Linked DNA regions of Notamacropus eugenii. The protein of the gene in region 2 purifies or fractionates together with the protein of the main gene of each other region. This does not show direct contact. Links are inferred from orthologs where the notes say so. Each region holds a gene or a part of one and is shown on either strand. Other genes may lie near its edges.

Evidence for each region.
Region 1: the proteins of SHCBP1 (region 2) and RACGAP1 purify together in Homo sapiens (affinity purification with mass spectrometry; 8 studies listed by BioGRID and IntAct, counting the BioPlex papers as one, with this or other methods). This does not show direct contact. The link is inferred for Notamacropus eugenii from reciprocal best matches to the Homo sapiens genes SHCBP1 and RACGAP1.
Region 3: the proteins of SHCBP1 (region 2) and KIF23 purify together in Homo sapiens (affinity purification with western blotting; 9 studies listed by BioGRID and IntAct, with this or other methods). This does not show direct contact. The link is inferred for Notamacropus eugenii from reciprocal best matches to the Homo sapiens genes SHCBP1 and KIF23.

Annotation. Positions count from the first base shown.
Region 1 is NC_092874.1:222,129,716-222,139,679, forward strand, and holds the start of RACGAP1 (rac GTPase-activating protein 1), read right to left. Parts: upstream 4,801-9,964; 5' UTR 4,634-4,800; intron 4,351-4,633; exon of another isoform or gene 4,273-4,350; intron 1-4,272.
Region 2 is NC_092872.1:461,189,210-461,199,056, forward strand, and holds the start of SHCBP1 (SHC SH2 domain-binding protein 1), read right to left. Parts: upstream 4,500-9,847; 5' UTR 4,379-4,499; coding exon 4,285-4,378; intron 983-4,284; coding exon 815-982; intron 365-814; coding exon 249-364; intron 1-248. UniProt on the Homo sapiens protein: May play a role in signaling pathways governing cellular proliferation, cell growth and differentiation. May be a component of a novel signaling pathway downstream of Shc. Acts as a positive regulator of FGF signaling in neural progenitor cells.
Region 3 is NC_092872.1:132,838,448-132,849,335, reverse strand, and holds the start of KIF23 (kinesin-like protein KIF23), read right to left. Parts: upstream 4,302-10,888; 5' UTR 4,188-4,301; coding exon 4,177-4,187; exon of another isoform or gene 4,176-4,176; intron 1-4,175.

The DNA.
Region 1 (9,964 bases), on a different chromosome or scaffold from region 2:
GCCCAAACTGTCCATATTTCTTCTGTTATCTAGTGCTACCAGCTCATATGTCCATTATGCTCTTTCAAAAGAGGACAAAGATAGAACCTCCAGCTTTAAGTCACAATATTCAAATCATTTATGAATGTATAGAGTACATAAGTCACAAACATATAAATGTTTGAGTTACTGTTCTTTCTTCCAGTTCATATTCCCCAACATCAGATGTTCTCAAAGGTTCAATACATAGCTTCTGGTTTGAACTCTGGATGTAGTAGTCAAGAACTGGGTTCAAAACCCCATCCCAAATACTTGATGTAATCTCTAAACCCTACCTTTGAGAATGTCAAATGAGATAACTGTATTTGCAAAGCCCTTTCCATACCCACGCAGATGTGAGCTGTAATTAATTATTCTCTCTACTACCTCTGCCCCCTTAATGAACTCATTCACTCTTCTGTTCATCTGTCACTTCTTTGCAGATAACTCCAAAATCTTCACCTCCAGCTCTAGTCTGTTCCCCAAAGTATTTCCATTTGACTCTCAACTGTCCTCTCCAAGTCAATCTTAGTCTAGTTTGAAAGGTACTCTCTCCTCACTACTCTATTTCTAAACAGGCCTCCTGCTGACTTCTCCTCTTCTAATCAGAATCACACAATCAGATTAGAAGTGAGAGGGAATCTTAGATAAATCATCTAGGTGGTGCAGTAGACACCCAAAGTCTTGATATCAAATCCGACCTCAGACACTATGCTGTGTGATCCTAGATAAATCGTTTAACCTTCCTAAGCCTCAGTTACCTCGTGTGTAAAAATGGGGGTACTAATGGCACTTACCTCACAGGGTTGTGAGGATCAAATGAAATAATGTAACATGCATTGCAAACCTTAAAATATCATATAAATGCTAGTTCTTAAATCAGTGGAACCACAAGTTTTCTAGGTTCAAGACAGTAGAGATTTTTGATTCTTCCGAGTCTTGTAGATTTTTTTCAAATGTCTTTCATTATCTGTCTACTTCTGCTATGTAGCCCAAACCATCCCACCTACAGTCTCTGCCTCGTCTAGTCCATCCTGTACATGTATCAATTAATTTTCCTAAAATATCAGCCATTTGGTTTGGTATTGTTATTTAACTTTTCTCATTATTGTTACTTAACATTTCTCTTAGGGAGATCTTACCTCCCTATATCTGTAGCTTCTTTATATCTTTAGCTCATAAGCTTCATGTTATCTTCCAAAGCAGACACACAAAAATATTTGTTTGCATGTTACTACTGCCAACAGTTTCTAATTTGGCAGTATATTACTTATTGGTATGTACAAATGTATTAGTGGTAAATGTTGCATCCTTACAAACATTACTTACATTTTAAACAGTGACTCTTAGTCCTGCTTTGCCTTTGAAGATGAATCAAGTTACCAAAAGGGGTATCACAAAATGCTCAAAAATTTCTAAATAAAATTTTAACTCACTTAAAAAAAATACTACATACTAATTAAAATGACCAAGCCTGGCCCTGGAGAAGAATTGAGAAAAATGTACCTCCATCATTTCTTTACATAGTTGGTTGATGTTGGTTGGTTTTTATTGAACTACTCCCTACACATTTTCCAAAATCTGTGTTAAAATGGATAGCTTGTTGGGGTAAGGTAATGAGGTATGAATATATGCACAAATGAAGGGGATGTAAAAACAAAATATTAACATTTTATTAATGGTTTTTGTTTTAATATCACTCTCATTTCTGGATATACCCTATCCCCAACTCAGTGAGCCACCCCTTGTCAACAAGAAAAAACTGTTAAGCTAAACCATCTTATAAATCCATTTCTGCCATAAAATGAAACCATTTACACCCAGTCCCACAACTTTCTAAGTAAAAGGAAGCTTCTTCTCAAGGCTAAGACCGGTTATGACAATTACAGTGTTGGGCTTCCTTTGGATGTACCTTTTGTCTATATTATTGTAGTTATCATGTAATATTCTGCTTACTTCATTCTATTCCAATATATACAAGTTGTTTGATTCCCACAAAGTATTTTTAGAAAGGGAGAAGGAAGACGACATCAAAAGCAGAAGTGTTTTACAGACAAGCATTCTAAGACACTACCCCAAAACTACATTATGCTAGAAGAAAGGAACAGATATTCACATCTGACCTGGCAAGGCTCTCAGACAAGCTGGCAAAGATAAGACTTAAGTCTGAGAGGAGAGGCAGCAGTAAATTCAGCTCTTCCTCTCACAAAGCTTTAAAGTAATCCCTAAACTATACTACCAAATAATATTCTCTGTTCTTTATTTGTTGAGAAACTATCACCTCTAAAATTAAGATTCTACAGAAGTAACTCAGGAATTATTTTTGGATTATTTCTGCATCAGCATTAACCCTGATATTAAAGCCAAATTCTAACTCAGTAAAACTCAAATTTATCTACCTCCTTTGGTATCAGTTGAAATGGTCTTAATTCTTCTGTTGGTTATTATTTTTACCCCAGTCAATAGTACTTCATTGCTCAGCCATCCCCTCCCTCCCCCAACATACACAATATTATTTCCAAGATGTTTATGTGAAAGGAAACAAAAACAAAATCACATTATAGTGCAATATTGTATGGCTGTGAAACAAGCCATCCCTTTCACTACAGAGGTGGCTGCTTTTCAGGATAGATGAAATAATACCTTTGTGTAGTTAGAAAATCAGTTTGTGAAGCACTTCCCACAAAACTGTGCTAGAGAACCTCAGCTCTTATTGACGGGAAGCCCTCCCGGTGCACAAGTCACTATTTCACAGATTCCCAATCTGTGAGTGTCCCTAAGGGAGCAATTTAGCATGGAGAGGCAAGAGTATCAGCTTGATGTGATTGCTTCGAGGCCCCAATTTAATTTCAATCATCCAGCCAAGAGACAGACACCCTCCTTCAGAATAACAGACTATTATAGATCTAACTGCAGGGCATGCTAGATAAGGTTTCTATCCTCCACCTTCTCAATCCCTAACCTCCTCCAGCCCCAACATTATTAACAGACTCATAAATCAGTTTTTTCTTTCAAAAATATGCATAATGTGTCACATTACTAGATGTGCCAATGTATGGGTTGCTTGTTTGGTTGGTGGGGGAGGGATAATTTATAAATGAAAATACTTGTCACAAAAAGAAATAAGAAAAATCCCCCAAAAAATTTCTAAAAATCACCGACAGAACTCCTGTGTTGCCAAGTAGATTCCTAAGCGCACCATCTCTAGCCAGAAAAATAACTTCACTACAAAAGTACTGCTCTTGCAAAACTTTCTGCGCCAAAGCATTTGAAAATATAATTTCTCCCCGCAAAATTTACACTCCTTACTTCAACCTACCGTAACTAGTCCCCCCAAATATATACCGATGCTCTCAGCCGTATAGATATGCGAGGAAAATTACTTCCTTTTATTAAGGGGTCAAGTGAAAAAAAAAAATGAATTACCTTCGTTTAGAAAAACTTACTGGCCTTCTACATGCAAAGCTCCTCCTATTCTCCTATTCCTTAATGTTTCAAGTCTCACTCCCTCCGTAAACCTTTCCTGACCAGAAAAGTGGACAAAGATCCTTCTTCTAAGCTCCCTCCAGTATAGATTGTCCTATATTATTTATCTTCTTATGCTCTCTTTCCCAAAAAATCTTGGTGACATCCTGGATCACAGAGGAAATAAACAAATGGCACCGTCAGGATTTGAGCTTGGGTCCTCTGGATCAAATCCAACTTTCTTTCTTCAGAACTAAGCTATTAGTTGGGAAATCAGTTACTAGATCCTAAGCATTCTCCAAATACCCTTCCAGGAATTCAGTTCAAAGAGAAAAACGTCCTAACACAATCTTACAGGATACAGTCATCATCGAACCCACCCTACAAAAAAATAATTCCCCACAGGAATGCTGGGGCTAGAAGTCTACTGCGCCTACTGTGCGCCTAATTCCCGGGGTAACAGATGAGGTAACATTGTTACAGCGTTTAGCAAACCTCAGAGTGCTACTATGCCCACCACTACTTCAGACATTCAGACACTATCAAGTGTAAGAATGTAGCAAAGGCACAGCAGAAGGAACCTTGGCCTTGGGAGCCGAAAGCCTGGTCTAAGTCCCAGCCGTGACCCTCCTAGGGCTGTGCATCCCCTTCACATAAGCCCTTGAACCCCTCAGAGGCTCAGTGCCTCCCATCTGCGAAATGGGGCCAAGACTACTAGACGACAGGACTAAGCCGGCCCGCGGCGCGCAGCAGCCCCTGGCCCACCCTGCCTCCCGCATGCGCATTCACCTCCTAGAGCTGGGCAGCGAGCCGGAGGCATGAGCAAGGGATGCATGGCCAGGGAGCGAGGGCACCACGGTTTCTGACGACTCTGGTGTACCCCAGCCTCTCTAGAACGCACCCCTTATTCCTTACCTCCCCCGTGGTCCGCCCCATCCCCCTCCTCCCTTACCCGACCTCGTGACCTCCGCCCCCGCTCCTCAGGCCAGGATCACCCGGAAGGCTATCAGCCCCCTCGGACAGCAGCCTCCGTTCCGCCCCCCAATCTCCCCACAACCACCGTAGCGCCGGAGGCTGGAACCCTAAAAGCCACCACCTCTTATCACAAAGCCCACGCGGAGCGGCCCTTTCAGCCAACCCCGAAACTTGCCTGGACGAAGACGGCCAGGTGGTCCGCGGGACCCCGAGTCCGAGCTTTTCTCCCCAACGGCACCTCACCCAACGACAGCCCGACGCCGCGATACCCGCTCTGATTTGAAATCCTCCAACGACCAATCAGAGGGCAGTATGTTCCTCCCCCAACCTACCAATTAGGGCGCATGTACGTATGCACGCACGCCTCGTAGAGCCTGCGCACTATCCTCCGACGAAGCCAGTCAGGCAGCCATTTTGGCTCCGGTCTTTCCTAATAAAGCCGTCAAGGGTGCCATGTTGATTGAGGGCAAGGGCTACTGAACTTCGACCTCAGGTTTTGATAGGACCCTAGATTTCGAGTTGGAAGGGGCTTTCTCAGAGCATCGTCTTACAGATCAGGAAACGTAGGCCCAGAGTGATTAAATGATTTACTCAGGATCACCCAGCTACTCCCTACAGTGGGATTCGAACCTAGGTTAAGCTGCTCCATCTGTAAAAATGGAGAAAATACTGGCATGGTCCAAATGGCTTTCATTCACAAATAGCACCCCTGAATGTTTCCTCTGCCGAGCACCAACCTGAGGGATACTTTTTTTTTTTTGCCTAGATTTCAACGCCTCAGCGTGGCCTTCAGCACCACCAGATCACCTTTGCCCACCCTCCCCAGATATTCCAGGGGCTTTTTCCCCCAAGACTGTCAATACCCATCTCCCAGAGGACTTTGGCCACCACTTCTGCCTTCGTCCCTGTCTTCCCTTTCTTGCCAAGCAAACCCTCTCTCTTTGCATTCCCTTATTCTCCAGCAGACTGTCCCTCATCATCCTCACTCTAACTTATCTTCCACCTCTTCTGTCTACTGGCTGCTTCCCTATTGCCTACAAGCATGCCTATGTCTTCCCATGCTCAAAGACCATTCCATCCCTGCTGCCCTACATCTTCTGTGGCTAAACTTCTTGAGAAGGCACAATCTGGCTTCTCATTCCTCTGAAACTGTGCTCTCCAAAGTTACCTTACTGTTGAGTAGGTTTTTTTTTTCAGTCCAGACAAACTTTTCATGACCACATTTGATGTTTTCTTGGTTTGCCACTTCCTTCTCCAGTTCGTTTGACAAAAGAGGAAACTGAGGCAAACAGTTAAGCGACTTGCCCAAGGGCATATAGCTAGTAAGTGTCGCAAGCTGAATTTGAAGTGAGGTCTTGGCTGACTCCAAGCCTGGAGCTCTATCCACTGCACCACTTAGCTGCCCCCTCTAAAATTACTAATAATCTCTTAAATGCAGCTTCTAATGACCTTTCATCAATCCTCATTCTTGATGACCTCTTTGCAGCCTTCAACACAATTGATGACCCTCTTCTTGATAATTCTGTTGTCCCTAGGTTTTTGAGACATACCTCTCTCCTGGTTCTCCTCCTGTCTAAACACTTCTCAGTCTCCTGTGCTAGATCTTCATCCAGGTCACTTCCACTAATCATGGGTGTCCCATAGGGTTCTGTCCTGGGACCTCTCTTCTTCTCCATCTATACTATTTCACTAAGTGACCTCATCATCTCCCATGGTTTAAATTATCATCTCTTTTCAGATAATTCTGAAATCTCTTTACCTAATCTTAACCTTTTTCCTGAGCTCCAGTTTCATATCACCATCTACTTATTGGAGATCTCAAACTGATTTATCCCATAGATATCTTAACCTCATTAAGACCAAGACTGAACTTGTTATCTTTTTCCCCAAAGCCCTCCCTACTTTCTAATTTCCCTATTAGTATAAAGAGTATCATTAAACTTTAAGCCATCCAGGTTTCCAATATAGGTGTTATCTTTAGCTCCTCTCTTTCTCATTCCTTATTTCCAATCTATTACAAAAGTCTGTTGATTTCATCTTTATAACATCTCTCATAATTTAAATTCTCTGACACTGGCACCACCTGGCTGCCAGCCCTTATCACCTCACTCTTGGACTATTGCAATTGCCTGCTGGTTGGTCTCCCTGACACGTCTCTTTCCAATCCAATCCATCTGCCACTCAGCTAACGAAGTGATCTTCCTAAGGTGCAGTACTGGCCATGCCATACTCCTACAGTGGCTCCTGATCATCTCCAGGATCAAATATAAAATTGTCTGTTTGCTGTTCAAAGCCCTTCATAAACTACCACCCCCCCCCACTTTTCTAGCCTTCCTATATTTTACCTTCCTTCCCTTCTCTATCATTCCCACCCACCCACTCTGTAATCCACTGACACTGTCTTCCTTGATATTCCTCACTTAAGATACTTCATCTCCCAACTCAAGGCATTTTCACTAGCTGTTGACCTCCTTACTCACCTCCACCTCCTAGCTTCCTAAAAGTCTCAGCTATCTACAGGAAGCCTTTCCTGATCTCCCTTAATTCTAGTGCCTGCCTTCAACATCCTGTATATAACTTGTCTGAACAATGTTATTTGCACCTTATCTGAGCTCCTTAAGAAGAGGGACAGTCCTTTGCCTTTCTTTGGATCCCAAGAGTTTAGCACAGTGCCTAGCCCGGGGGTGGAGAACCTGCATCCTGGAGGTCACATGTAGGTCTTTGGGTGCAGCCTTTTGACTGAGTCCAAGTTTTACAGAACAAATCTTTTTATTAAGGGGATTTGTTTTGTAAAGTTTGGATTCAGTCAAAAGACCACACTTGAGAACCTAGAGCGCCACATATGGCTCCCCACCCCTGGCCCAACTTGAAAAAGACATAGCAGGTATGTTCATCATCCTCATGAATGGCACAAAGCTGTGAGAAATAGCTGAGAAGATGGATGACAGGAACAAGATTCAAGAATTAACAGACCAGAAGTCTGGGACTAAAACTAACAAAATGAGACTCAAAAAAAATTAAAAATCCTGCTCTAGTTTCAAAGAATCAACAGGGCACATTAAAAAAGAGAAAGAGAAGAGTTTTAGTTGACTACAAACTCAGTATGGGTCAAAATTATGATACTGTTGCTAAAAAAATCCCTTATATAATCTAATCTTATATTAAAAGAAGCATGGTATCCACAGCAAGGAATATAGTAGTGCCCCCTGTACACTGCCCTGCTCAGACTTTGGGGAGATAATTTACCTCTCTGGGACAGTATTCTTATACAGAAAATAAGAAAGGGGCAGTCAGGTGATCAGGAAGACCTGAGTTCAAATCTAGCCTCATACACTTTTACTAACTGTGTAACCTTGAGCAAGTCACTTAGACCAATTTGCTTCAGTTTCTTCATCTGTAAAAAGAACTGGAGAAGGAAATGGCCAACACTCCAGTATCTTTGCCCAGAAAACCCTAAATGGGGTACAAAGAGTCAGACGTAACTGAAATGACTGAATAACTATAACAAAAATAAGGAAATTCAATGAAAGGTTTCAGCCCTAAGTTGACTCCTAGTTCTAACATTCTATGGTTTAATGATTGTCTAGTGCAAAATTCACTCCTGTTCATAGTTATTCAGTCACCATTCCAGACCAACATCTGGAGAGTCTTATCCCAGGATTCTAGGGGTCTTCTGACCTAGGGACTACCCAGTCTAATTGAGGAGATAAAGCAAGTACCAACGTTGACAATGAAATATAAGAAGCAAAAATCAGAAACACAATTTCTAAATGCACAGAAGTAAAGGAGGAAAGGGTTAGGAAGAAAGAAGTAGAGGGGAATGGAAGTTACTGTAATAAAAAATTAATGGAATAACCAGGAACCCCCTAATAATGGGTTTCCTGGAATGGGTGAGTCTTGGGGAAAATGTTGGGTGCTGGTAAAAGATAATTTGATGAAGAGTAGTAGAGTGTCAGTGAATAAGCGACAAAGTGGGAGAATAATGACCTGTATGAATGGGTAGAGCTTAGAAATGGCAATTTGATAATAAAGCCAACGAGAAATCCTGCACCTTACTCCCCCCCCAAAAAAACCCAACAATACTTCTTTCTGAACAAATTATGGAAAGAGGAAAGGAAGATTTTTCAATAAGCTTAACTATTGCATGGACATATCTAAGGTCACCTTTATCCCGGGCAAGTCCCATTTAACTTTCTGTATCAACCATTCAGCTTTCGAAGGAAAGAAAGAGTAAAGACAAGGGTGGGAGGTTTCTGACATCTTTTGCTCCAAACCTCCAGATTGATGGGATGGGATCCAGAGGTACAAACCTCCCAATATTTCCAGGAGGAGCTTGGCAGGATGAGGGAAGAAAACCTTGGACGCTGGCCTCTCTCCCATTATTGTAGTCCTTATTTGTCGGGCTTGTGCCCCCACCCCTCTCCTCCCCCTCTCCCAGGCTCAGAGCTTCTGCCAGGAAACTGCTAATGGGATTTATGCTAATGGGGCTGATGCAGGTGATTGCCTGAGTGTGTCAGTGGCTCCGGCTCTGCCTGACTGCTCCCTGGGCCTCCTAGACCTTTCGTCCACTGGGCTTTCCTGGTTGCCAGCCACCTCAGACTTCACCTTGTGACATGAAGTGACAAATTTGATCTGCCTCTTTCTTGGAGGAAAGGATACCAGTTAGCACCCAGGGACTTCCTGACACGGATAGGGGTCAAAATCCCATTTCTTCCGTGGTCTCACCTGCTCTTCCTCTGTCTCCCATTTTCTTTTTTGCTTACTGACTTTTGCTGTTCTTTGCCTTTCTCTGCTTTGTTGCTGTTTTTCTGGCTTCTTACTGTCTTTCTCCCTCCTTCCCTCATTTCACAGTATTATGGCATCATAAATTTAGAGTTGGATGGGACTTTATTAACCATCAAATCTAACCCTTGCATTTTACAGATAAGTAACAGGCTCAATGCCCAGGATCACACAACTAGTGTCTGAGGCAGAATTTGAATCCATTGTTTCCTGTCTTCAAGTGTAATGCTCTCTTCTCCATAGCATTCACTATTCAACCTCTGACACCAGTTCTTCCTGAGGTCTTAGTCTCCCTCTCACGGCACAGACTCTCTGTGAATATCCTAGAAATACCTTCAGCGGGGGAGCCAAACTAATAGAGTATAAGTTTGTATTTCATTTGTATAGGACATGGCACAGTAGGCACTAGTAGGCACATCCAGCAAATGTTTGTTGATTGAGTGTTCAGAAGAAATTCCTTTAAAGCTACCCTTGAGATTCATCTTAGTCAAATAAGTCCTGAATAAAAAGGTTATACTGTACGCATGATGACCCATACAATGTGATTTGCCACCATACTGCACAAGACTAGGGATTCTGGAGCCTCCCTCTTTTTTCACCCCATTCTCTCCCATGGGCCATAATGGAAAAAGCACCAGTTTTGGCATCAGGGGACCTGGGTTTACATCCCAGCTCTTCTATTTACCACCTGTATGAACTGCCCGAGTCATAGTATCCTCATCTG
Region 2 (9,847 bases):
CTATAGCCAACTTCCCCTTATCAGGAGGACACTGAAACTTAAACTGTTGAGGTTCCTAAATAGCTTTCCTTCAGTTGCTTTTAAAATTTGCTTGAATGCTTTATCTACCATGGCAATTAGATGTGGAAAACATGCTATTTTCAATCAGCTCATAAACTTTAATTAAAAATAAGTACTTTGGCTATAACAATCTGAAGTAAAGTGCTTTTAGCTAGAGACAAATGTCTTAACAACTGAATTAAATTTACCTCAACCAGCACCTCGAACACATTAGTGCGCCAGATTGCCTGCCATCCAGATGGTTCAAGGACCTTCTCCAAGTACTCAGCTGTGAATTCCCTTACCTCTGAAGCCTTGCAGTCAGCTACAAACAAATTAAATACTTGAAATAAGAATTTATATTACAGAAAGCAGAAGGAAGCTACTGTCCACCCAAGCATCCAATGTGTGCCCTCCATTCTCAATACAACATTGCAGTCAGACTGATAAGACTGTTCTCAAATGCAATAACACATATTTCTTTGTAATAACTATTCTTTGAAGCAGTATAAATATTACCATTCCCATATTATAAATGAGGAAACTGAGATTTAGAGAATTTGTATTGCTTGCCCAAGGTCCCACGCCAATGAATGGCAGGGAAAGATTTCATTCCCTATCTCAGAAACAGGAACTCTATTTACACAGTAATTCCAACAGCAGATTCTAGGGTATAGCAGTGCAGTAAAAAGATGCCATATTCCCACCAAATGGCAAAGACACTGAAAATATAAGAAGCAAGAAAGCCCATTTTACATGCAAAGTGAATACTTACCTAGAATATAATCTTGATAGGCTCTGAATCGCTCATAGAACAAAAGCTGATTTGTTTGGAAAATGTCTGGAAAAGGTACATTCCCTTCTGGCACAAACCTTTGCAAAATGGTCCCTGGCTTATCATGACTGCCATAATCACTGAATGTATCTTCATCTTGCAATAAGTCTAAAGGAATAAAAAGAAGAACATTCAACTTCCTAAACACTTCCAATGTTTTTCAATTATACAAAAATTAAAGCACTTACTCACTAGAACAACAGAGAAACACAAATGAGCACTGAGATATCACAGTTTATTTACCTCTCCCCTTGTCAGATGGGACTACAGTTTATCCAAGCAAGCCTGGAAATATATCAAATTAAAAGTTCTACTTTAAAATCCTAAGAGTTTTTTGCAAGTTTAGATTTTCACATCAAAGGATGCTTTCCTGGCCTTCCTCCAAAAAATACACCTCTAATTCTTTACCATGATTTAGTACTTTTCATTTACTCAACATTTTATAGTCATATGGTATTTCCCTCATAACAATACTATAAATTTGCTGGGGAATAGGGAAAAGGGTGATTTATGACTCTTCTTCTCTAAAGACTGGCACTGTTAGAGAACTGGGACTCTTTTTTTAATACAACTTCAAGTTCATAGTGCTTATTCAATATACAGTGACAAAACAACCTTTAATAGAGAAAGGTTTACTTTCATCTTATGTAGGCTGTGGGACTTCTCCTCACTGGAGACCTTAGCACTTCAAAAAAGAACTGTCCAAAAAATCCTCTACAAGCTAGTCCTCAATGATAAGAATATGATTAACCATAATTATGTCAAACATTTACTATCTGTAGTAATTTCTGTAGTTTACCTCTGTTTCTACTCTTAATGAGTTGAGTAGCAATGCAGGATTTATCTTTCCATGCTCACTTTCCAATTTTACCTCTCTCCCAAACAGTATTCTATACAATAACAAATCGTGTTATAACAAGATCCAATTAGTAACATAGGCCAATGTATAGGGGCAGCTCGGTAGCACAGTGGAAAGAGCCTGGAGTCAGGAAGACTCATCTTCCTGAGTTCTGCTCTGACCTCAGACACTTACAAGTATGACCTTAGAAAAGTCACTTAACCCTCTTCACCTCAGTTTCCTCGTCTGTAAAATGAACTGGAGAAGGAAATGGCAAACCACTACAGCATCTTTGTCAAAATCCCAAACGGAAAGCGTCAGACATGAATGAAAAGAACTGATCGTCATCAGTGTTTATGATAGCAATGGACAGATGGATTTAAGATTGACAGTTGTAGCATCACTGTTTCAGAGCTAGCTAATATCATATGTACTAAACATTGGTAGCACTCACTTCTCTTACCTCTCATTGCTCCTGCTTCCCTAGGATCTTTCTACTCCAAGTCTTAGGACTGCCCTGGTGGCCTGCCCTTAGCCCCACAGGATAACAATGGAGGCATAAAGGGAAATGGTGACCTACATTTCAGAAATGAAAATACTGACTGGGTTGAAACTAGAGAAACCCTACAGTGATGAAAATACCAATAACTCGCTTGTGTAGTCCTTTACATTTTACAAAGTACTTTCTTCATAAAAACTCTGTGTGCAAGGTAATAACTCAGATTTATATGGACCTTCAAAGCTTAAAAGGGCTGTTCTCGCCACAATCAATCAATATTTATTTACTGAGCACCTACTATGTGCCAGCCACTATGATAAATGCTTAGGATACAAAAAGAGGCCTTTAAATAGCTTACAATCTATTGGGGGAGACAACATTCAAATCAATATATACAGAGCAAGTTATAATCAGGATAAACAGGAAATAATTAACAAGAAGGAAGGCACTGGAATTAAGTGGGGGTGGGGAAGGCTTCCTGTAGAAAATGTATTTTATTTTTCCAGTTTACAAAGAAGGAAGCTGATATTTAATTCAACTTAAAAAACATTTATTAATGACTAGTAGGGGTGTAGTACTGAAGTAGGAGACACAATACCAATACAGAAAGAATACAACCCCACCCTCAAGGAACTTATTTTCTACATTGGAGGGGATACAATGTATTCAGAGATACATATCTTACAGGGTAAGATACTGTAAGAGCAAAGGAAAAGACAAGAGGTAAAATGAGTAGGAAAAAAAAATCTACTCTCAAACTCCTAAGTGACTTGCCTGTGATCAACAATTCAAGCCAGGTTCCAGATTAGAGCTGGAAAGGTCTGAATCCAGTCTGTTTACAAGACAGGTGAAGAAAATGATGCCCAAAGAAGGAGGTTTGTCCAAAGTCAGAGGCAAGCCTCTAAACTGAATCTTCTAAATGCAAGTCTACTGTTCTCTCATGAAACTAGGTCCTAGACCTTAACCTAGATCACCCTACGTTACATTACATATTACAGTATAACACATAATTACAGTATAATAATTTTATATTTTGTATTTCAAGGATTCATGAACCAGAATCAAACTCCTCCCCGCTTCATGACTTAGGAAACTAGAGTGGTGGGACCGGTCAGTGCTCACAGGTGATATCTGCCTGAACTTAGAGCCTTAAGTGGTTTAAGGTTTATTAGCAACCTCCCTCCTAGGTTGGCCATGAGGAGAAAATAAGGCAGTTTTTGAAAAGAGCTTTGCAAGCCTTGAAGCATCACGAAAATGCTGGCTGTTCTTATCGGCCATCAGCTATGGGTGGTCAAAGCCAGAATGCAAGCCTCCTACCAGTCTGACATCTTCGAGCATTGGCTAGGAGGAGCCGTATCCGTCACTCGCTAAGCTTGCACCTGCACTAAGGCACGACACTTCTGCTGCAGGTCACCGAACGGCAGACGTACGGCCCAAGCTCTGCCCTCCTCTCGGGCTGCACCGGCCCGAGCACTTCACAGGGTCCGGAAGGAACTCGGATCGTCCAGTCTGTCGGTCCCCTGAGCACTAACCAGCTCTACAGCGTCCCCGACACACGACCAAAGGGGACTCGCCACCTGTCGTTCCGACATAACTTTCCCTAACATCAAGCCTAAATCGGGCCCTACTTCTACCCTTCCCCAAAAGCTGACACTTGAGACTAGCGGGGCGGGGGCGGCCGCTGCCGCTGCCCCGGCCCCGGCCCCGGCCGCTGCCCCGGCCCCGGCCCCGGACGCTGCCCCTGCCCCGGCCCCAGGCTTCTTTCTCACAATAGGCCTCCCTGGTCGCTCTCTCCAGGCCGGGCCCTCCCTGCAGGAGGTCAGCCGCAGGCACCCGGTCCATCCCCATCCGTTACAGGCCGGGCCCAGAGAGGTCAAGTGAGCGCACCGAAGTCACACAGACAGGAGCGAATTACCCACGCGCTAGTGGCCTGGGCTGGGCCCTCCCTGCCCCGACGCCGCCAGGCTCCCTCCCGCCGGGCCTCCCCGGAGCCAGGACGCGCCAGGGGCGGACGACAGCCGCGGCCCCCGCCGGGTTCACTGCGGCCGCCCCGGGGACGAGGGGCATGCGTACCGTGCTTCACGTCCGCGGGCACCCCGGGAAAGCTGGGCTCCGGGCTCGGCTCCGCAGCGCCGAAGCCCTCAGCCGTCATCCACCCTTCAGCCATTTCAAATTTCCGCGGGCTGCACCCTGGGACGCCGTGACGTAAGCCCACCGGTGGTTGGAGGGTCGCCCGAAGCGCAGAGACCCAATCAGACGGAGGCTTACTTAACGTTCGAGCTTCAGGCAGGCCCGAGCCGGGCCGCGTCTCGGCAGAGCCAGACCCCGCTATGTCTCCCCCTGCTGGCGGGGAGGCGGGGCTGCAGCCTCCAGGGCGCTGCAGCGTCAGTTTCCATCTGCCTGCAGTCGTGGGGTTTTACATTGAAATCTGCAAGTGAGGTGAGACTCCCTCTCATCCAACCCTTTGATCTTTTAGCAGATTAAAACAGTTCCTGCTCTCTAGGAGGATACAACGTGTACTCGGAGAAGTAAAAACAAGCTCTGTACAGAGTAATAGGAGGCCACGCGATTCCCCAGTTAGGAATTGCCATTTCCCCTCTCCGTGCTTTTGCCCAGGCTCCCCCTTCCACCTGGAAGTCATTCTCTCCTCACCTGTGTCCCAAGGACTCCCCACCTTCCTTCAAGGCTCAGCTCAAAGGCTGCCTTCTACTTGAAATCTTTCCTCGTTCTTCCAGCTGCTAGTGACTCCCTCTCCTCATCCTCCCCATAATATTGATATTTTAATATTTTTAAAATATTATTAAAACATTAATAACATTTTATTACTGAACCAATATTTGAATCCAGGTTTCCTGGACGCCACGATCAGTATCCTATCCACTATCCTAAGTTCTTAAGACTTTCATCACTTTCTGTCTTCCATGCAGCTGAATCCTCCCAAATCTTATAAGAGTCTTTCACCCCCCAAATATTAGAAGGTGAGCTTCTTAAAAGGGAGGACTGTCTCACAGTGCTTGGCACTTGGTCAGAACTTAATAAATGCTTTTGCAAATGCTCTCCACCTCCAGACAGAGAACTGATGACATCTGAGTGCAGACTGAAGCATACTTTTTTCCACTTTATTTTTCCTCCCTTTTTTTTTTTAACAACATGGCTAATATGAAAATATGCTTGGCGTGACTTCATATGTATAATGAGTGTCACGTTGCCTTCTCCTGGGTGGGGGAGGAATGGAAGAAATGAGAATTTGGAACTCAATTTTGTTAAAATGATGTTTAAAATTTAGTTATTTTAAAATGCTTTTTCATTAATTCAGTCAATATGGATAAGGATTAGATACCTTTAAGGGAAACACTCTAGAACAGTGTTCCACGATGAGAAGAGAGGGAAACTCCTGTTGGGTCTGGAACCTGGATGAAAGAACAGGCAAGGAACTTTAAAAAAAAATAAAAAGAAGGGGAGATTAACTTGGTAAAGATACAGGCAAAATTGAGAAGTAAGCATGGAAAGAGAAATCCTGAGCTACCAAGAGTGGAAACAAAGAGGCAACCTGGGGGCTGGAATCAGAGTAGGGATACAGAGAGGGGAAGACATAGGACTGTACTGTCATGGTGACCCCAAACCTAGGAATCCTATCAGAATCCTTATGTGTACTGAGCTTCAACAGACTCCAAAGGGGTAGCACGGCTGGTCACTGAAAACCTTCAACAAAGATTGATTGACAACTTCCTCACTCCACTTGCCCAAACAATGAGGGGGAGTTTCCCAACTACCACCCCACACTTCATAAATTCCCCAAGAGATTCCTTCTCACCTTCAACCACCTCTAAAGATGATGGTATTATATTCACAAAAAGATGGGCATTAGAGAATGATTCTACAGTTTGATTTCCTCTTAAAATTTTCATGGCTTTCATGTCTTAATTAACTGCTTTTAATATTAGACTGGTATCTCTTGTACTAAATAGAGACTTTGAGCCATGATTCATATAACTGATTACTCAAAACAGGAAAAGTCACAAGGGGCCCCAGAGTCAGAGTTCCTTGAGACTTCAGGGGCCCACTTGTTAAATAAATGTAACATCTGTTTCCCTAAGAGAAACAGATATTGTGAATGTCTTTCAAACAAGTCTAGGGAAAGAGAAAAAAATTCTGGGTATCCAAGGAGAAAGAGAATGCCAATGGAATAAAGGAGAGAACTACAAAACAGAGAGCTTGGGCACTGAAAAGAAATTTTTATGACTCACACATCAATCTAGTCAGATCATTCTTCTGCTTAAAAGTTTTCAGTAGCTCTCTCTTGCCCACAGAATAAAGCTCCAACTCCTAGCTAGCATTCAAGGCCCACCACAGCCTGGCACCACCCTGCATACCCAGGTGTCAGTCATGGTTTTCATTCTTTTCTGTGCATTGTACCTTGCATCTACACTGAACCCTCTATCCCATTAATGTGGACTGTATTCTCTTATCTCCAAGCTTTTGATCCAATTATTCCCTACTTCTGGAAAATTTTCTTTTCTCTTCTTTGTTTGGTGAATTTCAAACTTAATCTTAAAAGCACAATTCAAAAGCCGCCGCCTCCAGGAAGCCTTCCTTTATACATCCTGATAGCAGTGACCTTCCCCTCTGCCCCCAAACTTCACATAACACTGTTTTTCAATTCCCTAATGCATTTCAAAAGATAATATAGAAAACCCACATGTAGCAAGATCCCACGTGTCACATAGGTCTACATGTAGTGAGGGCTGTCCTTATGTGGCTTAAAAGGAGGCAGAACAGACATCTCTAACCTCTTCTCTTCCCCACCCTTCTTCACAGGAGACTAATTCCTGCCAGGAGGGGAAACAGGGAGTTTAGGTCAGAGGCCACTTGACTTTCCTCAGAGAGAGGAGGTATCATTCCCTTAACTATTGTTAGTTTACAGAATATAATCCAGTTTGATCTAATGTTGATCGCTGTATCTCATTATTGGGGGAAGGGAGACCCCAAGCTCTTCAGCCAAGGCTTGGTCTCTTTCCTACCTAATTCCAGCTTCACAATGAGCAACTGTCAAAGAAAATCCATTTATCCAAATCAGTAGCAAAACAGAAATCAAAGAAAGTATACAAAAGAGAGTATTTACCAGACAATACAGAGTAAAAGAACTCTCCCAGTGGGAGCAAGTTAACTCAGCTCAACCAAAAGAGTGTCCTAGACCTCACCCAAGGGGAAACTGCTCATAGTCTCTAGTGTAGTGACCTGAGGATATAGACATGATGGAGCCTGTCTGCTTCTCTCATTTATTCCCAGACTCTTTTCCTTCAACAATCTAAGTGGGGTTGGCCTTTTCCATCTTCCTTATAGGTGCTAGAAGCCAGAAATGGCCTAAACCATTAGAAGCTTGAAGAGGTTAGAAGAATAATGAAGGCTGGAACTCTCCAACTCTCACCAGCTCTGCTTCATCCCTCACATGGAAAGGGCATTCTCTACCAGTAAGGAGAAAGTCTCATACTTGTAGGCTTTGGGACAGGGATTACAATGATGTCTCATATTAATAGTTAAGTATCTATAAGTTCCACGAGGGCAGGAACTGTATCACTTGCTTTTATATCTCCCCCGTTGCTTAAAACAGCGCTCTGAACCCTGTAAAACCAATATAAATGTGGAAGGCAGGAAAGAAGGGAGGAAGGTAAGAAGGAAAAGAAAGGCAAGGCAAGGCAGGGCAGGGCAGGGCAAGGCAGGGCAGGGCAGGGCAGGGCAAGGCAAGGCAAGGTAAGGCAAGGCAAGGAGTGAGTTCACCAATTTTCCCCGTATCATTAAAAGAAAAAGAACAAATCTAATTCAACTACTATTTATGAAGTGCCTATTCTGTGAAATGCTGGAGATACAAAGACGAAAAATTGATGTGGTCCCAAAAGTTTAAAGTCTACTGGTGAGAAAAAGAGGATAAAAATAATAATCAATAATGTTTATATAGTGCTTCGAGGTTTATAAAGTACTTTAAATACCTTAATCTCATTCAAGTCCCACAACAACCTTGTTAGGTGGATACTACAGGCGCTATTATCTGAATTATACAGATAACAAAACTGAGGCTCAGCCATGGTCACAATAGAAAGTTCAAAGACTGGACTTGAGCTCAGGTCTTCTTATTCATACAGCCACCAGCTTGGCTGAGATCTCATCATCTCTAGGTTGTTACAATGAATTCCTGATTGATTTCCTTACTCTCCATTTCAATCTACTCTCTACATATCTGCTAAAGAGATCTTCCCATAGTCACTGTTTTCCACTAATGGTCCTGATCAGTGAAAATTGCCTAATACTGATAACACAATAGTAAATTTGAACTTTTGTCTTGGTTTAGGTTTCAAGGGGACAAATTTTCTTTTTTTAATATGTTAAAAACTCTGTACATTTATGAGAATTATATGGGAGTTAATGAACAGAAGACTTCTACAGTATTAGCTGGTAAGCACAAAGTTACATATTCCAAAGCAGCAGCCACAAGCATGAGTCTCAAACATCTGGATGTTTGTTGTTTTCCTACTTACATTGTTTTACCATATTAACCTTTTATGGGTTTCTTTAGCCTGATGTTTGACAGCAACAGTGCCAAAATCGCTGAAGTATATAAAAATCTTTGTGTAGTCTTGAATAAAACTATAACTTGGATTTATTTTTAAAAAGTTATTTTCCTCAATTTCAGAACTGATGCCACTTTCCTACTTAAACTCCAGTTGTATCTAGGATAAAATATAAACTCTTCTGTTTTTCTTTTTAAAACCTTTCACAACTCGACCCCACTTAGTGTTTTACCCTCTGTTAGTCTACTTCCTGCACTCTCCAGTTCAACCACACAAGCCCTTTCTGTTTCTCACACTGCACAACACCTGTCATTCTCCCCTTTACACTGCTCTTCCCATGCGGAGAATGAACTTCCCCATTTCTACATCATAGAAGCCCTCACTTCTTTGAAGTATTACCTTCTACACAAAGCATTTTCTGGTCTCCTTCCCTCCTCAAGTGATAGTACCTTCCCTCCTTTACTACCTTGTGTTTATTTTTTTCTGCAAATATTTATTGCATATATACTGGAATGTGTATATAGAGATATAGTCTGGCAACTGTTCCTACAGTGTCACAGTTAGAACTACTTGAAAAACCTAGAAAAGCAAGTTTTTGCCTTGTGTCCTTGGTGCTATCCAAACATTCAACACCAGAAACTGGTATCATTTTATCAATGGAAATAACATTAAAGAAGAGAAATTAACATCACTCTTCACTGCTATATCATAAGGACTATGGGATCTTTCCAACTGACTTGCACCTAAAACCTTTCATGTGTTATTTCCTTTATTAGAATCTGAGCTTCTTGAGAGCAGGGTCTATCTCACTTTTCTATTTGTACACCCAATATTTACCACCAAGCTTTGCACATTGTTAAGGGCTTAATAAATGCTTTATTCATTCGTTCATTCATAGGATGTAAGTTCTTTGAGAATCGGAATTTAACTGGAGTTGCTTTGGGGAAATTGCAAAGCACTTTTATTAACTCCAAGATTCTCATGAGATTAAAGATCCATCTTTTCAATCCTAACACTTTACTGGTGTTGCCATAGGTCAGTTAGACATGGATCAGCACTGACTCCGAAGA
Region 3 (10,888 bases), about 330 Mb from region 2:
TTCAACATATACTTAGGTCCCTCCTATATGCAAATTCCTGTGCTTATCACCAAAATACAAAGTTCATACAAAACAAAGTCTCTGTCCCTCATGAAGCATATAGTCTAGTAGAGATAAAATATCAAAACAAAATTATCATATAGAATGTTACAACTAAGTACATGAGACTTATGAAACAAAGTATTTCCAAAGGAAATAATGTTATTAAAGCAGAAGGGAAGAGCAGTTCTCAAAGATGTTCATGGAGGAAGTGACATCAGAGTTGGTTTTTTAAAAGATGGGAAGAAATCCACAGGTAAGGAGGGGGTAGGTCATTCCTAGAGTAGGGAATAGAATGAACACAGCAGGAGAATGTAGGTGGGTACCCAGGAAAGAGGGAACTGAGCACACAGAAAGAAGCAATATGGGACAACGCTAAAAAAGTAAGGTGGCACTGGACTGTGGCAGCCCTTGAATGCCAAGCAAAGAAAACATCTTTGTTTACTAAGCAATAAGGAACAAGTAAAAAGTTATTGGAAAAGTTATTCTTGGCTATGATTGGGTTGGAGGAAGGAAAGTGCAGGCAGAAAGACTTTTAAGAAGACCACTGCAATAGTCTAGGTGAGTCGTAGGATTTTGTTGTTCAGTTATTTTTCAGTTGTGTGTCTGACTCTTCATGACCTCATATGGGTTTTTTTTTTTTTGGCAAAGATACTGGAGTGCTTTGCCATTCCCTTCTCCAGCTCATTTTATAGATGAGGAAACTGAGACAAACAGGGTTAAGTGACTTGTCCAAGGTTACATGGCTAGTAAGTGTATGAGACCAGATGTGAATTCAGGAAGATGAGTCTCCCTGAATCTAGCCCCTACATGCTACTCACTGCATCATGTAGCTGCCAGGGCAGTAGGATAAGAGTCGGGGCAAAAGGAATAAAGACATGAGAGATGTCAAAGAGGCAGAACTAACGTGATTTAATAGTGGATTAGAAGTAAAAAGTGAGAAAAGTAAAAAACAAGATTCTATATATGGGAAACAAGGTAGACGGCACTATTCTCAATTCCTTACTTTCCTTCCCCCCACATATTCAACAGTTACCCAATTTAGCAATTCCTGCCTCCTTGAGTCTTGGAATCTGACCACTTCTGTCTACTCACAAAGCTCCAAACTTAGTTCAGGCTCTTATCATCTCTTGCCTACATCACTTGGTTTTCCTGCCTTAAATCTCTTCCCATTCCAATCTACCCTGTAAACTGCTGACAAAATTATAACTTTCTTATTCCAACTCCAGGGGCTCCCAATTTCTTCAAGAAAACTGAATCTGAACTGTCTTAGGAAGATTCTGAAGACCACTCTGGCAAAATAAGGTATGGGACACTGAGGTTCTTTCTCAAGCTGAATTGCCAAGCATTCAAACTCTATTGCACAGAATGCAACTCCAATGGGCTGGTCACACTGTTCAAAAATTTAAGTTTGCCTAAAAGACTATTTTTTGGAGAACTTACACAAGGCAAATCCTCACACAGAGGTCAGAAGAAAAGATACAAGGTACTCTCAAGGTCTCTCTGAAGAACAAAGGAATCTATTATGAGACATGGGAGACACTGTACAGGATTGTCAAGCATGGCACGCTCACACCCAAGAAGATGCTGTGCTCATAAAGCACAGCAAAATTACAGCAGCTCAAAAGGAACATGAGATGTGCAATGTTCATGTGGACTATTTGTGCCTGACTGTGGTAGAGCTTCTGAGCTCCTACTGGTCTGATCAGCCACTGTCAGACATACTGCACCCTGACCCAGACATGGTAACGTCATTTTAGTCCTCTTTGAGCATGAAGGACAAGCACAAATCAATTTCTTTTAGGAGCACTCATAAACTTTAAAGCCCCTAGTAGAAACCTGATCCCAATTCATCTTTCCAGTCTCAGTGGACTTTACTTCCTCTCCTGAACTCCAGGACACAACTAAGCAAGCCTTCTCTCTGTTCCTCAAATGACAATTCCTATTCTATCTTTGTCCTTTGTATTCTATCCCTCACTTATGGAGTATCCTCAGTCATCTCTGCCTCACAGAATCTCCCTCCTTTCTTAATCTCATTATATTTATATAATTTATATATTTAACCTTATATTTAACCAATTTGTATATATTCTCCATCTTGATTCTATATATACTTGTTTCACTTTGAGACTATAAGTACCCTGTGAGTAAGAATTGTTTCATTCTTTGTACCAGTATCTCCAATGTATGGGAATAGTAGGTTCTTAATGAATTCTTTTTGATTGAAAGGAGCCAAGGACAGACACTTAAGAATTTCCAAAGCAAAGAGTCAAGGATGGATATGAGAAACCAACAAGAAAGTTACCAATAGAAGCATCTGGTCAACAATCAAAAGCTGCAGAGAGGTCAGTAAGGAAGAATGACTTTTAAAAACACTGAATTTTGCAAATAATTGGACAATGGTGTGCAGTTTCAGTAAAGTGGTAGGAAGAAGTCTGATGGCAATAGGTAAAATAGAGGGAGATTAATGGGTGAATGAATGCTCAGACCAAACACCATTATTTCCTTCCTACAAAAAGTTATGCTTCCTATTCAGATACCTATGCCCTAAACCATAAATTTCTTACTTGTTAACAGGTTTTCTTTTTTACTTCCATGTATTTTCAATGCATTTCACTACGTCTATAGTTTCTATCTCTTGGTCTAGAACTGTGAGTTCATCAATAGCAATCTACTAATTAGGAAAGTGGCCACTCTCCTTCATGAGCAGCTCATATATAAATTATAATTAGTTATAGAGAGTTACACATAGAGCTGCATTTCTATACAGAGATACAGAGATAATATTTGAAATATATTGCAAATAATATTTGCAAAGTGTTTAACACAGTACCTGTCACATTTCCTCCCCTTAAATAATATGGTCACACAGCTCATTCAGTGTCAGAGGTAGGACTTGACGTTTCTATCTTCAAGAATCTGTGATTTTAATGGTGTGGGAGCTAATTCTACAGATGCAGATCACAAACCTTTTACCCCTTAGTAAAGAGTTTACAGAGTTGCTCCAGTTAAAGAATGATAATAATCACCCTACAAATGAGCTTCTCTACTACTCTGATTCCCAGACAATTAAATGACAGTACATCATCTAACAGTACTCAATAATAGCCCATATTTAGCATTTTAAAGGCTTTTCTCAGAGCCAACACTGTGAAGCAGGAGTGGTAGCTGTTACCCTTTTACAGATGGTGAAACCTAAGGTGTACAGAGGCTCTGTCTTGTCCAAGGTCATACAGTATCTGGCAGAGACAGGTCTTAAAATACAGGTCCAGTTCTTCCTTCATTGCACCAGTCTACATCTCTAAGCAATACCAGGGTTATCCTTTTTAAGACCAGAACAAAAAAGACCTACATACAATACCCTCCCTCCAAGGACCTCTAAATTTAAAAAAAAAAAAAAAAAAGGCTGAAGTCTCTTTGCCAGGGGCAGGAGGGGGTTGAGGGAGGGAGAGGGTAAGGGGGTAAAGGAGTGATAGACGGGAACTACCAGTGTGAAATAACACGGTGTCCCCCAAATCGTAGCAGTTTCCCACAGCACTAAGTCTTATCAGAAAAAGTTAATGTATGGGTGGTTTTACTGCTGCTTCCCTCTCCCCCTTTTTAAAAGAGGGGCAGATGACTCACAGGGATGACTTCACTTAAGAAATCCAAGGTGAAGTAAAAACAAAAGATATGAATAAAAATGGGTGGCCTGGCCTCCCCTTCTCACAAGGGCGCGGAACCGGACCGGGAGAGGGGAGGGGGGCAGGGCAGCCGGCCTCCGTTACCTCCTCTGCTAAGTTTGCCTGAAGAAAGTTTGGGGACAGTGGGAAGGGGCGGGGCAAGCATGGGGAAGGCCTTCGGAGTCCAGGAGGACGCCAGGTCAGGTCTGGAGACAAGGGAGCGGAGGAGGGACGCATCCCATTCCTAGCCCCGAGGAAGGAGGGGGGCTGCCCCACGCACCCCAAGGCTTCGCCTTCCCTTCCCCAGGCTGTGCTCCCGGCGGGAGCCCGGGCGATGGCACTCGCGGGGATCGCCGTTCCGGGGCGAAAAGAGGGGGGTCTCGCCCCGGGGCCCGACCCCTGCCCCCGGGAGCCCCCTCCCCTCCCCTCCCCCAGCCCAGCGGCCAAGTCGCGCTATCCCGACGCGGACACTCACGCTGGCTTCATGGCCGCAGCGGGCGCTCTATCGGCGGCAGGCGGCGGAGAGAGCTCGGGGCCAGCTGGCGGGAAGGCTGGGGGGTCTCTGTCGCCGCGCTCGGGTCCCCGAGAGCTCCCTGACGCACAAGCCGAACGGTCGCTCTCTTCACCCTCGCCCAGCGAGGCAAACCGGACCGGGCGGGCGCGCGCCCCCGGCGCATTTCAAACGGACCAATCAGCGTCCACGGCGCCCCCCACGTGCTCCGGGGCGGGGCAAAGAGTGTGGCTTCGGGCGGGAAGCGTCCCCCCTCGAGGACGGAAGTGGGACTCGTTTCCAAGGAAACCAACAGCTGAGGGGCAAACTTCCCTTCCGGAAGGAAAACAGTGACCCGACTTCTGGTACTCGCGCCCCGCAATCCCAAACGCCCTGGGTGGCGGGTCTTGTCTGCCTACGTACTGAGCGGTGTGAGGCTACGCTGCGGCCTTCCTCATCTCCCCTCACGTGTCCGTCCCCTCCGCCATCCTCCCTCCGAGCCAGTGTCCAGCGCTGGACGATTCCCGAGTGCCAGGGAAAGCGAAAGCCAGGAGCTCCCAGGCTGCCGGTGGGCAGCGTGCCATCCGCTGTAGACAGACGTGGTAGAGACAGGACAAGCAGAAGCGGGGCCTTGGGGAGGCTGGGACGTGAGCGTGATAGGCCTGGGGGCAGCCAGAGCCTCGAGAGGGCTGCAGGTAATTCTGTCTGTCTGTCTGCGTCTCTCAGAGGATTTCAGGATGATGAGTTTCTGGAGACCAGGAAAGCAGCCTGGTAGCGTCAGGTTATTCGTTATTGAGAAAGAAAGAGAGAGACTGGGGGGGAGCATATTATGAAGAGCTCCAGATGCCGGGCGATTTTATGTATTTGTCTTCGAAGTGATCTGGAGGTGACACGGTCAGACTTGCGTTTTAAGAAAATCCCTCTGACCGTAGAAGGGAGGATGAACTGGAGTGGGGAGAGCCCACCCGCCGGCTATTACGATAATAGAGGTGTAGAGGGAGGAGTCTTCAGCAAGGTGGTGAAGAAACCTTTGCAACAATCAACATAACCAAGCAAAATCAATTAACTCGGTACGCCAGCAAAATTCTATGTCTCTTTTTGCCACCCTTGTGCTGGTTCATCACCCCTGTCCTGAAGTGGAAAACAAAGTTTCTTCATAGACCCTTTGGAGATGTGGTTGATCTTGGCTTTGATCAGGCTTAAGTCTTTCAACGGTGCTTTTCTTTACAATGTTGTTACTCTGTTGTTACAATGTTGCTCTTTTCTTATTCCCCAGTTATGATAGTGGTTTCATGCCCTTCTTCCTCCTTTTCACATTAGTAATATTCTGCTTTTACTCTTTCTTTCCTTCCAACCCTCAGAGCAAATCCATGTTATGCCCTACCCCCTACCCATATTCATCACCGTTTTACTCCCTCACACTCTTTAAAAAGATTAAGGTTATAAAGGGACACTCGTTTTGTCTTTCCATGTTAATAACATTGTTCAATTCCTTTCAAATAAACTTACATTTCCAGGTTTCTCTAGACTGTTAATATTTCAAAGTTATTAATCTGCTTACTCTGATCTTTTTAATCAGAAATACTTGAAAGTCTTCTGTTCCATTGCAGGTTCACTTTTTTTTTCTTTGTAGGATTATACTCAGATTTACCAAGTAATTTATTCTTGGTTGTAAACCCAGATTATTTGCCTTTTGGAACATTGTATTCCAAGATCCCTCCTATTTGTAGTAAAAGCTACCAGGTCTTATGTGATCCTGACTGTAGTTCATATTTTTTTTCTTTGATCTGGGAGCTTTTGGATTTTGACTGTGACATTCCTGAGACTTTCACTTTTGGGGTTTCTTTCAGAAGATGATTAGTAGGTTCTGTCTTTATTATGTCCCCTAGTTGTAACAGATCTGGGCAATTTTCATTTATAATTCTTTAAAGTATAATGTCCAGAATTGAAGAAATAAGCATAGGCAATGAGGAAACAAAACTGTCATTTTTTGTACATAATATGATGGTTTACCTAGAGAAACCTGGAGTCACCTTAAAAAGTAGTCAAAACAATGAACAATTTCAGCAAAGTTTCAGGATACAAAATAAAACCACACAAATCGTCAGCATTTCTGTGTATTACCAACAAAATCCTGCAGGAAGAGATAGAGAAATTTTATTAAAATAACAACAGACACTATAATATTTGGGAGTCTACCTGCCAAAACATACATAGGAACTATATGAACACAGTTTTGAAACTCTTTTCCGACAAAGACAGATCAGAGAAAAATTAATTGAATAGACTGAGCCAATATAATAAAAATGGCAATATTACTTATTCAATTCCATAATAATCAAAGAATTACTTTATAGAACTAGAAAAAAATAACAAAATTCATATGAAGGAATAAAAGGTTAAGAATATCAAGGGAATCCATGAAAAAAAAAGGTAAGGAAGGGGGACTAAGAGTACCAGATGTCAACTGTATTGCAAAGCTGTAATTGTCAGAAAAGTTGGGTACTCAATAAGAAATAGATTGATCGGTGAAACAGATTAGGTATCTAATATACAAAAGAAAATGAACACAGTAACATTGTGTTTGATAAACCCAGAGATCCCAGTTACAGGGAACAAGAGCTCTATTTGACAAAAACTGCTGGGAGAACAGGAAAGAAATCTAGCAGAAACTAGCATAGACTAACATCTCATACCATATACCATCATAAGCTCAAAGATGAGCTCATGATTTAGAAATAAAAAGTGCTAGCATAAAAAAATTAGTGTATCAGAGGGAAACTTTCCTGTCACATCTATGGATAAGGGAAGGAATACAAGGGTTTTCAGGAGGTAAAATGAATAATTTTGATTATCTAAAATTTAAAAGATTTTGCCCAAACAAAACCAGTGCAGCTAAAATTGTAAGAAGAACAAGAAACTGGAGAAATTATTTGCCATAAGTTTTTCTGACAAAGATCTCATTTCTAAAATGTATAGGGAACTGAGGCAAATGTGCAATAATAGGAACCATTCCCCAACTGATAAATGATCAACAGATATGAATAGGCAGTTTTCAAAGGAAGAAACCAAAGCCATCAATTGCCATATGAAACAATGCTGTAAATCACCAATAGAGATATGCAGATTAAGACAACTCTGAGGTACCATCTCATATGCATCATATTGGCTAAGATGACAAAAAAGAAAATAACATAAGGGAAAAACAAGTATACTAATGCAATTGGTAGAATTGTAAATCAGTCTAACCATTCTGGACAGCAATTGGGAATTGTGCCTAAAAGGCTATTGAACTGCATATCCTTTGCCCCAGCAAAGGTACAACTATTAAGGCTATTCACCTTGTGTTGTATTTGTCCTTCATTGCTGAAGAAAACCATGCCATCAGAGAAATGATGACATGAGTTGTACTTGACTTTGTTTTGAGTGAGGGAGGGCTGTGCAAGGTCACCAGCCACTTATCCTCCAGAGCCATCTGGATCCAGTGACCAGATATTTCTCAGGATGACTGGAGATGACCAAGGATGCACTAGGTGACCTTGGGCCCTTTAGGCCAAGGTCTTTGCAGGCACTCACTTAGGGTGAGGTAACGCCCATTCATTGAATAGTCCTGTTTAAGAAGTAGCCAGGTCATGGCCCCTTTAATAAGGTCAAGAAAAACAAAGACATCAGGGTGGGTGGGAAACAGCAACAATTACTATTGGTAATCACTCTAAAGCTAAGGAGGGTCCAGAAGAGCCCTTGGGCAGGGGCTCATTGTCATCCTAGCTTCAGAGTGTAGTAGATTTAAGGTTTTGGAAACGGAAAAGATGGGAAGGGAAGCTGAGTTACCCAGCTAGCTGGGTCCCTATTCAGCCAGCTGCATCTACTCACAGGATTGTGTTCGTCCTTCAATGCCGAAGAGGACCATACCCTCAGAGGAATGATGACATGACTAGCACTTGACTTTGTTTTGAGTGAGGGAGGGCTGTGCAGCTCACCAGCCTCACTTCTCTTCCAGGCTATCCACCAAAAAGAGCAAAGAAAGAGGAAAAAGATCCATATGTACAAAAATAAATTTTTAGTGGTAGCAAAGAATCTTAAGGTAGCAAAGAAACTTAAGGGATCCCCATTGGGCATGGCTAAACAAGTTATGGTATACGAATGTGACAAATACTATTGTGCTGTAAGACAGGATGAAAGAAATGATTTTAAAACCTTTATGAACTGCTGCAAAATGAAGTAAGCAATGCCAGGAGAACAACGACGTGAGCACCACAGTGACCTACCACAATTCCAAAGGACGCATGCTATTCACCTGCAGAGAGAGCGCTGATGGACTCAGAGTGCATTTTTTTCTTGCTTTTTTAGAGGGGAAGAGGGCATGGCTAATATGCAGTTTTGTCATGCATGACTACGTATATTTGTAATAAGTTTTGTTTTTCATGCTTTCTCATTGGGTGAGGGAGGGGGAAAAAGGAGGGAGAGAATTCAGAACTAAAAAAAATTAAGTCTCTTTACTTAAAAAATAATAAATTATAGTGTATAAGCTTTTATAAAAAAACTGTGGTTTTCATTAAATCCAGTAATTTTAAAATTACCTCCCCTTCATCCAGAGAAAGAACTATAGAGTCTGAATGAAGCATACTATTCTCTCTCTTTTTTTGTTTTTTTCTTTCTTGTGGTTTTTCCCTTTGGTTCTGATTCTTCCTTACAACATGACTAATGTGGAAATATGTTTAATATGATTGTACACTTCTAGCCTATATTAGATTATATGCCATCTTGGGGAGCAGAGAGGGGAGGGGAGGGAGAAAAAATTGAACTCAAAATCTTATTAAAAGTGAATGTTGAAAACTAAAATTAAATTTTTTAAAAAAGAAAAATAAATTATCTCCCCTGGATCTATTTTCCAGGTCAGTAGGCTTTTATTAACAAATATCTTGTATTTTACCTTTTTGATTTGGTTATAATAATTTTTGCCATCTCATGGAGTCACTGGTTTTTTGTTTTTTGGGGTTTTTTTGGTTTATTCTAGTTTCTATTTCTTAGATAAAGTTTACCACATTCTCGTCTAAGTTATTTAATACCTTTTCAATTCTTTCCTGCAGGAGAGATTTTATTTCACTTTTTATGTTTTCCTTCAAAATCCATTTCTTTTCCTTGGTGCCTCTGCTTGCAGCTGTTATAGTTACATGTTTTTTCATTTGGGGGAATCTCTAGATTTACAATAATTTTTGATATTGATTTCTCCTTTCTTTGATTTACTTATTTCTCCAGCTTTAGCTCTTGAATTAGGACAGTGACAGTCTCTAATGTGCTTTTGTGTGCAATGGTTTTGGGCTTATCCTCGGTCATCTGCATTCTACTGGTAACCACTTCTAAGGTTAAGAACTCCTGATCTTTAAGGTTCTGAGCGTTGGATTTTCAGGACCTTCTGTAGCATCTCAGAACAGAGTGTTAGAAGCCTCTGAGCCCCCTGGGCCTGGGGTGTTCTGGTCTCTGTTGTAGTGATGCCTTCTGGTTCCCAGCTTCCTATCCTGAGGCTTTTCTGACCACCCTGAGGCTTTACAGGGGGAGATTCTGCTCATACTGCCTCTAGACAGCATTCCTGGGAAACACTGTCCCAGGTCCATCTCTAGTGGCACTAGCAGATGCTGACTTAGCTGGTGGCCTGTCTTACCTATTGCCCTTGGGCTTCTAGCTGACCTCTTATGCCATTTGAGGTTGAAAGAATTACAGTCATTTCTTGTACTTCCTGACCATTATTTGATCTGAAGTGAACATTAGAGTCTTAATGGAGTAGATATGTCTAAACAAGGTTTACACAAAGGGAAAATATGTTTGATATATAGAAGATGGATGGCCATTTCAGACTGCAACAGTGGCACGTGTGCCTAAATTGAGCTAATAGACAAATTAAGTAGCTAAATAAAGCTTATCCAAATTCACCTCAGACTGACAGAGTAAGGCTGTATTGACATGTTTTTTCTATCTAGGAAAACCTCTGATACTGTATTTCTAAAAGGAAAACCCTCTTAACCAACATGAGTGAACTATCTGTCATCAACCTTCTTAAATAAATGTGTATTTATGAAGTGATAAAAAAAAATGACCAAAATCATGGGGAAAATGAATTGTTATAATAAATAAATTTTATTTTACATGTTTTTAGAAACAAGAAATCTATACAGGGAGCACAATTTGAAAAACATCTCTTATTTAGAAAGGGGGCTCAGTTGACCTTATCTTTTCATCCATAATGGATCTCTGGCAAGAAACCAACATTCAACTAGTTCATGTTTGTGGTCTAATCAGTAGACCAAACGTTATTCATATCAATTTTATAGCCACAGTCATTTAAGGTTCTCCAAATTATCATTATATTGTTATCAGTAAGCATCAGTTCATTTATTCAGAAAAGAGACATTGCATAGCTACTTAAGGAGTTACAGCCTTTTCTCAGGTACTGATTAAAAGTGATCAGTATGATCTGAACATAAATGACTTCTTCCAAACATAATCTACCTTAATTGCAATGTTAGGAAAATTGAGGATAACAAGATATACTCCTATTGGGTGTATCAGTAAACTGCTTGCCATTCCTTCAGCTTTCTAATGGTACTAAGACATAACTGCATATCATTTTATATGATACTGCTTATTATATCTGTATCCCCTCTACCTCTCTCCATAGAGAGAGGGGGATGGGAAAGGA